2 linked regions of the Oryctolagus cuniculus genome follow. The protein of the gene in region 1 binds, or shares a complex with, the protein of each later gene. Links are inferred from orthologs where the notes say so. Each region holds a gene or a part of one and is shown on either strand. Other genes may lie near its edges.

Region 1 (4,298 bases):
TGTACAGAAAAAAAAGCTTCAAAATAATATAAGCTTAAATCCTTATCATTGTTTTCTAAATTGGAAATTCCTAATCTTTTTTGTATAATCAAATATATAAAAGTCACCTAAAGTTTTAATAACCTGTCGAAATCTGCTATTACGAACTCTGTTGTGAGTTTTCTGGTGAAGAGCTAGGTTCAGTTCTGTTTCACAGGCAGTCCCCACAACTCAGGTAAGCCACAGAAGTCACTGGTTCACTGCCCACAAAGTAGGATGAAATAGGTGGAGTACTCAAAATACCTGTGTGTTTCCCCCGCTGACATACAGCACAGTTGGGCTGGTGGCTCCAGTGATGAGACGGCCCATCTCAATGTGGCCTATACAGTGGTTCACGCCTAGCAATGGCTTATTCCACAGCTGGGCCACGGTACGAGCCACGACAGCCACAGAAACTAGTGGAGCACCCATGCCAGGACCTAGGGGACAGAAATGGTAGTCAGAATGCTGGATTGGAAAAAAACAGGTGAGGAACTAGGGAATGTCAAAGCGGGAGAGGGCTTGTGGTGGTGACAGAGGCAAGGCAGAGGACATTTTGACCTACCCAGGCTCCACATTCCTCCAACACTGACCCCTCCCCCAGTCATACCCTTGGTGTAGGCAATGCAGTCAATATCCTGGGAGGTTAATCCAGCCTCGCTCAGCGCCTCCTGCAGCAGATCTAGGATAACAGCTCGGTGGTGCCTGGCAGTGTCACCTGGAAGGAATCCTAGAAAATGGGAACAGGCCAGGGGTCATAAGGGTTTTCTGCAGCAAAGACAAGTAGAATTTTAAAACTATGACAGTGAAGCCTCCTGAGTTTCAGTAATGCAGGAAGACTCCTTCCATTCTCCTCAAGCACCCTGTCTTCCAGGTTTTCAGACACATTCTAACCTCTACGTAAGCTGTTCAGGTATCAGAAGTGCCTTTCTTCCTACTCAATTCCTACTCAGCATTAAGACCCAAGTGAGGGGCCGGCACTGTGGCGTAGTAGGTTAAGCGTCCACCTGCAGTGCCGGCATCCCATATGGGCACCAGTTCGAGTCCCCGCTGCACCACTTCCCATCCAGCTCCCTGCTGATGAAAGCAGTAGAAGATGGCCCAAATGCTTGGGCCCCTGAACCCATGTGGGAGACCCAAAAGAAGCTCCTGACTCCTGCCTTCAGATTGGTCCAGCTCTGGTCATTGTGGCCATTTGGGAAATGAGCCAGCAGATGGGAGACACCTCTCTCTCTCTCTCTCTCTCTCTCTCTGCCTATAACTCTAAAATTAAAAAAAAAAAATCTTTGAAAAAAAAAACAAACTCAACCGATACCTACCTCATGCAGAATCCTACACATAATCACATCACTGTATCTTACACCTAACAATTACAGCATAGCATTAAAATTATCAGTGGTTTCCACAGTTTAACTACAATTACCTGAAAACATTGGCTATTTGATTTATTCTTGTACTCCCAGTACCCAAGTGCTTAGAATAGGAAAGACTTAAACATAGATATACAAGCACTTCTAATACGTACAACCCGTCACATTACTTGTTCAGAGGCTGCTCTGGTACATGGAAATCATTTGCCCCCTCCTATATGTGCAGGTGTTTGAGGGGAGAGTAGGCAAGATACAATAGCTCATAAACCATACGGAACAGAAGCTGTTCAGTGTCTGGTACTTTCATTTAGTCCCCAAGACACAATGTTAAGGCACCACCACTCCCATTTTAAGAGTCACAAAGTACAGTGGGTGTTCTGGCACTTGGGACACCCACATTCCCCATGGGAGTGCCCAGGCTCAAGGCCTAGCTACTCGGCTTCCAATCCAAGTTCCTGCTGATGTGCACCCTGGCAGGGAGCAGATGATGGCCAAGAGTATGAGCCCCTGCAACCCATAAATGGGAGACACGGATGGAGCTATTGGCTCCTGGCTTCTGCCTCACTCAGCCCTGGCTACTGCAGGCATTTGGGAAGTGGACCAGTAGATGAGGTTCTCTCTGGCTGGCTGTCACCCTGCCTTTCCAGTAGATAAAAATAAGCAAAAAGCAAACATTAAAAAGTGAAAAAAAAAAAAGTCAAGAGTATCCCAATACCAGTCAATTCTATCCGGTACCTAAATCCTAATTCCTTCCATCTTCACGTCTCTCCTCCGCATTTTACAACATTTTGAGTCCATCTCTATTACACCACTCATCACGCTGTTACAATTCGTTTATACATTAGACTCCAGGGTAGATTTCTACAAGTTTATGAGGTCTTGGTACGCAAAAAGCATTCAATGAAAGCTCGACAACCCCAGAAGATTCAGGTCCAAGCGCCTGTGGCTCTTCCACTCATCCGCCTTCTGACAATAACATCACATAACCTCAACGAGCTGTAAAATGGGACAAAATTCCCCGGGCCCCATTCACTGGTGTTCAGGGAAATAGGTGATGTGCGCGGGGAAGGTCGTCGCAAATTAAGTCCAGGACTCACCTGTGCCCGGAGGCGTGACATAGGTCCGCCGCGGGTTGGCCAGCACCTTGCCATCCCGCACCACTCCCACGCCAATCTTGTTGGCGCTGCCTTCAAACCCCAGCACCGTCGGCATGGCGCCGCCTGAGAGAGAACGCCAAGGCGCCAAACACCGAGCCGCGACAGCCCTCGGCGGGCGGTACCGGCACGCTGTTGGTAAACAGTAAACCGCGCCCGGACACCAAAACCTGCCGCGGGGGCAGTGCCCGCGCCTGCGCCTGCGCCCGCCGGCGACCCACAAGGCCCCTTCCGGAACCTGTCTCCGGAGCTGCCGGGAGCGCTGAGCCGGCCTCTGCGCCGGCCCTGCCTAGTCCACTCCCCCGCCTCTCTCCTGCGGCCCAGCCCAGTCGCTGCCACTGAGCTTCTGCCCCCTCGCACGGCGCCGGCTCCTTCGGTCAGGGCGGCAGAAGGAGCCGTACATCAGGCACGAACGTGAACAGCCCAAGAACGGAGCCTTGGGACCTTCAGCCCTCCGCGGAGTGAGAGGGGCGTGTCAGAGTCTCCGTCACGTGGTGGCAGACGGCCCAATCACGCGCGGCCTCGGGTCACGTGACCACGCCAGTTACCCACGTGGGCGTCCAGCGTGCTCCCTTCTTTGTGCTCGGGTAAGGAGCCAGGCTGGGGCAGGAGCGGGGCAGGAGCAGGTCAGGTGCAGCGCTGCGTTTTTGCTTGTTGGAGGGGCCTCCGCTAGCTGCCTCACGGGACCTTTAGTAAAGGTCTCCCGTTGGCCGTAGAGCGGATCTCGCGGTGATTCAAACGCTCTATGGATAGATCTAGTTGGGGAGTGAAGCGCCGAAGGCCTGATGCACCGAGGCGGGGACAGGATTCAGAGATTATGTGGTTTGAAAGGCGGGACTTAGTGCGGGGGCCGTCCAGGGCAGGAGTTTTCTCCCCAGCCTTCGCCGGCTGAGTCGTATATCTTTGCATCCTTAGGCATCGCGGTGAAGATACTGCTTCGGTGGTCGACGTGGTTCGGGTGCCGAAGGGCGATCGTTACAGGCATGCCAAAGCGAGGGAAGAAGGGGGCCGCGGCAGAAGACGGGGAGGAGCCCAAGACGGGTGAGAGTGAAGCGGCCTCTCCCTGCCAGTCGCGGTGGGCGGGGTTGGGGGGGCTGCTTCTGAGTCCCTTGGCGAAATGTTAGCTGTGGGCCAACTCATAGCGGGCGCAGGAGAGGAAGTCGCGCTAACCGCAGGGTCGCGGTGCGTTTGCCTTGGACTCTGACTCGATGTTGGAAACCTCCAGCTCTTATCCCTACGTATTATTCTCGTTATAGAGCCAGAGACCAAGAAGGCTAAGACGGCAGCGAAGAAAAATGAAAAAGAGTCAGCAGGAGAGGGCCCCGTGCTGTATGAGGACCCCCCAGACCAGAAAACCTCACCTAGCGGCAAAGCTGCCACACTGAAGATCTGCTCCTGGAACGTGGATGGGCTTCGAGCCTGGATTAAGAAGAAAGGCTTAGATGTGAGTGGAATTCAGATTTCATGCTGAATGGTCTCAGGGCTTCATTAGCGTCTTTTCATTTTAATGCCCAGGATGTAACTTTTTTTTCTCCTTTCTTTTCTTGTGGGAGAAGTACAAGGGGCAAAGGGAAAGCAGTAGAAGATGAACCAAGACTTGCTGGAATGTCCATTCCTTCATTGCCATTGCCAGTCTTACTAATGTATCCTTCCTCCGACTGTTGCAAAAACCTCTGTGCTGGCCAGCCTCCATTTTAGCTCCAGAATACCCTCCATTCCCAAATCTACTGCTTAAAAGTCTTAGCTGCCCTTGTGA
Region 2 (3,196 bases), on another chromosome or scaffold:
TTCAGAATGGGGAGGGCAAGGTTCAGCGGCTAGAACTTTCCTGATGGGCCAAGCGCCAAAGAACCAAGAGCTGAGCTGAGAGCCCAGTCCGCACTGAGACCGGGCCTTCTGAGGGACTGGGGTCCAGTTCTTCCCTGTTTCTCTTCCCCGCAAGGGCTTTGCTGGGTGTGAAATGGGTGAAATCCCTCCCAAAGTTTTATTACCCAGTTATCAGACTGAGCAGCCTGCTTAGCGCCAGACAGAGGGTTCTCCTGGGGTGCCTTTTTGGGAGGCAAGGCTGGGGCCACCAATAAAGTGACGGGGGTGGACAGGGCTTTGTCGTGTAAAAAAATACAGGACTGCTGCCCAAGTGCACGTCCCAGGCTGCTACATTGCTTTCCACCAGGGCTTTGTTTTCCTTAGGCCCTCTTCACACACACAGCTAATCTCTCCCTTGCTACCTAACAGCCTCACACACAGTCTGAGATCGATCTTGTTACCTAACAGAACGAACTGATACAATGGAACTACGATACATTTGGCAAACTTCAGCGACGGAAAAAAAATCTAGAGCCAAGGTGGCGTTGTAGTTTACCAGGTAAGGCTGTAGCCAGCAACGCTATGAAATGGTTGCTCCTCTTCCAATCCAGCTCTCTGCTGTGGCCTGGGAAAGCAGTAGAAGATGGCCCCGGTCCTTGGGCCCCTGCACCTGTGTGGGACACCCTGAAGAAGCTCCTGACTTTGGATTGGCGCAGCTCTGGCAGTTGCGGGCAACTGGTGAACCAGTGGATGGAAGACCTCTTTCTCTTTCAAATAAATCTATTTAAAATTTATTTATTTGAAAGATAGGGTTAGACAGTGAGAGAAAGAGACAGAGAGAAGGTCTCCCCAAATGGCCGCTACGGCTGGCGCTGCGCCGATCCGAAGCCAGGAGCCAGGTGCCTCTCCTGGTCTCCCATGCGGGTGCAGGCACCCAAGCACTTGGGCCATCCTCCACTGCACTCCCGGCCACAGCAGAGAGCTGGAGAGAAGAGGAGCAACCGGGACTAGAACCCAGCGCCCGTATGGGATGCCGGCGCCGCAGGCGGAGGATTAACCAAGTGAGCCACAGCGCCGGCCCCAAAATAAATAAATCTTAAAAAAAATATATATTGCAGCTCAGTTTCTCCAGGGCCTGTGGGTACCAGCAGCGCTGTGTTGTCGGGAACCGACCACGCATCTGCCTGCTTCACTGGAGGTATGTTCTGGCTAGCGCACTAGCATCGAATCACGAATGCAGTGTTTCTGAAGCTGCCAGGGTCTCCAAGAGCCCCCACGTTGGGCCACTATCGCGGGAACTCACGAGGCGTCCCAACAGCCTCGTCAAAGGTGTGTTTGCGCAGGCGCGCGTGGACGTGGTCGTGCGCGAGGGGCGGAGCTTCAGGAGGGCGGGCAATCTACGAAGCTCCTGGAGATGGCGGGCCGTGGCGCAGCGCCCTGAGGGTGGGGTTGAGGGCGGGGCAGCGGCAGCCATGCAGGCTGCGGACGCAGGCGCAGGCGGCGTGGCGGGCGGCGCTCACACCCAGCGTGGACGGCGTGGCCGCGACTTTCCCGATGGTACCGACACAGAAGCAGCTGCAGCCCGTGGAACTCGAGAAGTCGCGCAGGCACCGCACGCTGCCGTTCCGGGCGGAGACGCCGCGACAGCAGCCGCAAGCCCGGGAATGCGACCACACTCCTTGTATCCTGCGGGAGGGGCACAGTGGGGGAAGGGGGTGGAGGCTGCCCGTGGTGGGGGCAGGGTAGCCTGGAACAGAAGGTGGGAAGGGCGAGTGGGAGGACCGGTAGCACAGAAAGAAGAGCAGGGTAATCGGAGCCGCCCGGATGGCTGTGGGATTAAAGCGTTAGCCAGTGGGGGGCGCCCGAGAGAGGTCATGGAAGCCGTCAGAAGAGCCAGGGAAACAGACTCGGGCAAAGTCGCTTCCGATGGTGCCTTTACCAAACCTCCACCAGTACCCTCAGTGTGCCTTTTCCCACCCGTCTGGAGGCAGAAATCGCCTGTGAGTCCCTGGCTCCAGATGCTGAGCCTCACCCAGAAGCGATTGGAAAGGACCTCGCAGTGACCGGCACCGTCCTGGCGGTGTAAATGCTTCCGGGGGCCGGGGGTGGGGTGGCAGGAGTGGGGGAGCGGGAGGCGGTGAGGGGAAGGCAACAGGGGATGTGGCCATTCTCCACTGAGAGGTAGGCTGGGAGGCCTGGAGGCACTCCGGGGGAAGTCTAAGGAGCAGGTCTGGGACGCTGCCCGAGAGGCCCTGTAATACCGGGGCTTCCAGGATCTGCTGCACTGGATGCCTGAGGGGTAGAGCAAGGGATGTGGGCAGCTACTGTCCCCGACTTGATTTTCTTGTTCCTTCCCTTTTAGCCGCTGGACAGCTAAAGATCCTCGCCTCCTCCGAGTTTCCATCATCAGCTTTCTTGAGCAGCTTTCCCTGGTGGTGCGCACCCTGCAGCGCTTCGGGCCTCCCGTTGCCCGCTAAGACTGGACTGGGTAAAGGGGCCCAGTTGTTACCTTGCTCGCCTCCTAGAAAATGTGTCTCCCTAGGGCGATCATGCCCGAAGCAGGATGGGGCCTAATGGCTTGCCTGCATTGGGTTCTGGGTGCTCAAGATCTGTTTGTTTTCACCAGTGCTTAAATGTTTGCTACCACAGAAAATAAAACTGACCTCTTCCCAGTTTCATATCCTTTTCACATACAAATATCCTTGCCATTGTCCTGGAGTTGCAGTGGAAGAAACGAGATTCACATGTTTAAGAAATGCAAGTTGGGGGCCGGCGCCGCGGCTCACTAGGCTAATCCTCAGCCTTGCGGCACCGGCACACCGGGTTCTAGTCCCGGTCGGGGCGCCGGATTCTGTCCTGGTTGCCCCTCTTCCAGGCCAGCTCTCTGCTGTGGCCAGGGAGTGCAGTGGAGGATGGCCCAAGTGCTTGGGCCCTGCACCCCATGGGAGACCAGGAGAAGCACCTGGCTCCTGCCATCGGATCAGCATGGTGCACCGGCCGCGGCGGCCATTGGAGGGTGAACCAACGGCAAAGGAAGACCTTTCTCTCTGTTTCTCTCTCTCACTGTCCACTCTGCCTGTCAAAAAATAAAAATAAATAAAAAAAAATGCAAGTTGGGGCTGGTGTTGAGGGACAGTGGGTTAAGCTGCCACCTACGTTGCTGGCATCCCGTATAAGT

The links.
Region 2: the proteins of OSGEP (region 1) and LAGE3 are in contact, whole or in part, in a crystal structure (PDB 6GWJ), measured with the Homo sapiens proteins. The link is inferred for Oryctolagus cuniculus from reciprocal best matches to the Homo sapiens genes OSGEP and LAGE3. Residues at the interface, in NP_060277.1 of Homo sapiens: Arg50, Ile53, Leu54, Asp55, Leu57, Gln58, Leu61, Gln69, Ala84, Val87, Ser88, Val91, Val92, Arg94, Thr95, Val96, Gln98, Leu99, Trp100, Asn101, Leu315, Ser318, Gly319, Val320; in NP_006005.2 of Homo sapiens: Glu76, Ile77, Gly80, Ser81, Leu82, Pro84, Asp85, Asp125, Gln126, Leu129, Val130, Arg132, Thr133, Met134, Arg136, Phe137, Gly138, Pro139, Pro140, Val141, Arg143.

What each region holds. Positions count from the first base shown.
Region 1 is NC_091443.1:54,295,986-54,300,283, reverse strand, and holds the start of OSGEP (tRNA N6-adenosine threonylcarbamoyltransferase), read right to left. Parts: upstream 2,801-4,298; 5' UTR 2,601-2,800; coding exon 2,486-2,600; intron 749-2,485; coding exon 629-748; intron 459-628; coding exon 283-458; intron 1-282. Other genes in the region: DNA repair nuclease/redox regulator APEX1, read left to right, coding at 3,526-3,583, 3,799-3,986. UniProt on the Homo sapiens protein: Component of the EKC/KEOPS complex that is required for the formation of a threonylcarbamoyl group on adenosine at position 37 (t(6)A37) in tRNAs that read codons beginning with adenine.
Region 2 is NC_091453.1:132,705,611-132,708,806, reverse strand, and holds LAGE3 (EKC/KEOPS complex subunit LAGE3), read left to right. Parts: upstream 1-1,403; 5' UTR 1,404-1,490; coding exon 1,491-1,699; intron 1,700-1,971; coding exon 1,972-2,100; intron 2,101-2,380; coding exon 2,381-2,495; 3' UTR 2,496-2,696; downstream 2,697-3,196. UniProt on the Homo sapiens protein: Component of the EKC/KEOPS complex that is required for the formation of a threonylcarbamoyl group on adenosine at position 37 (t(6)A37) in tRNAs that read codons beginning with adenine.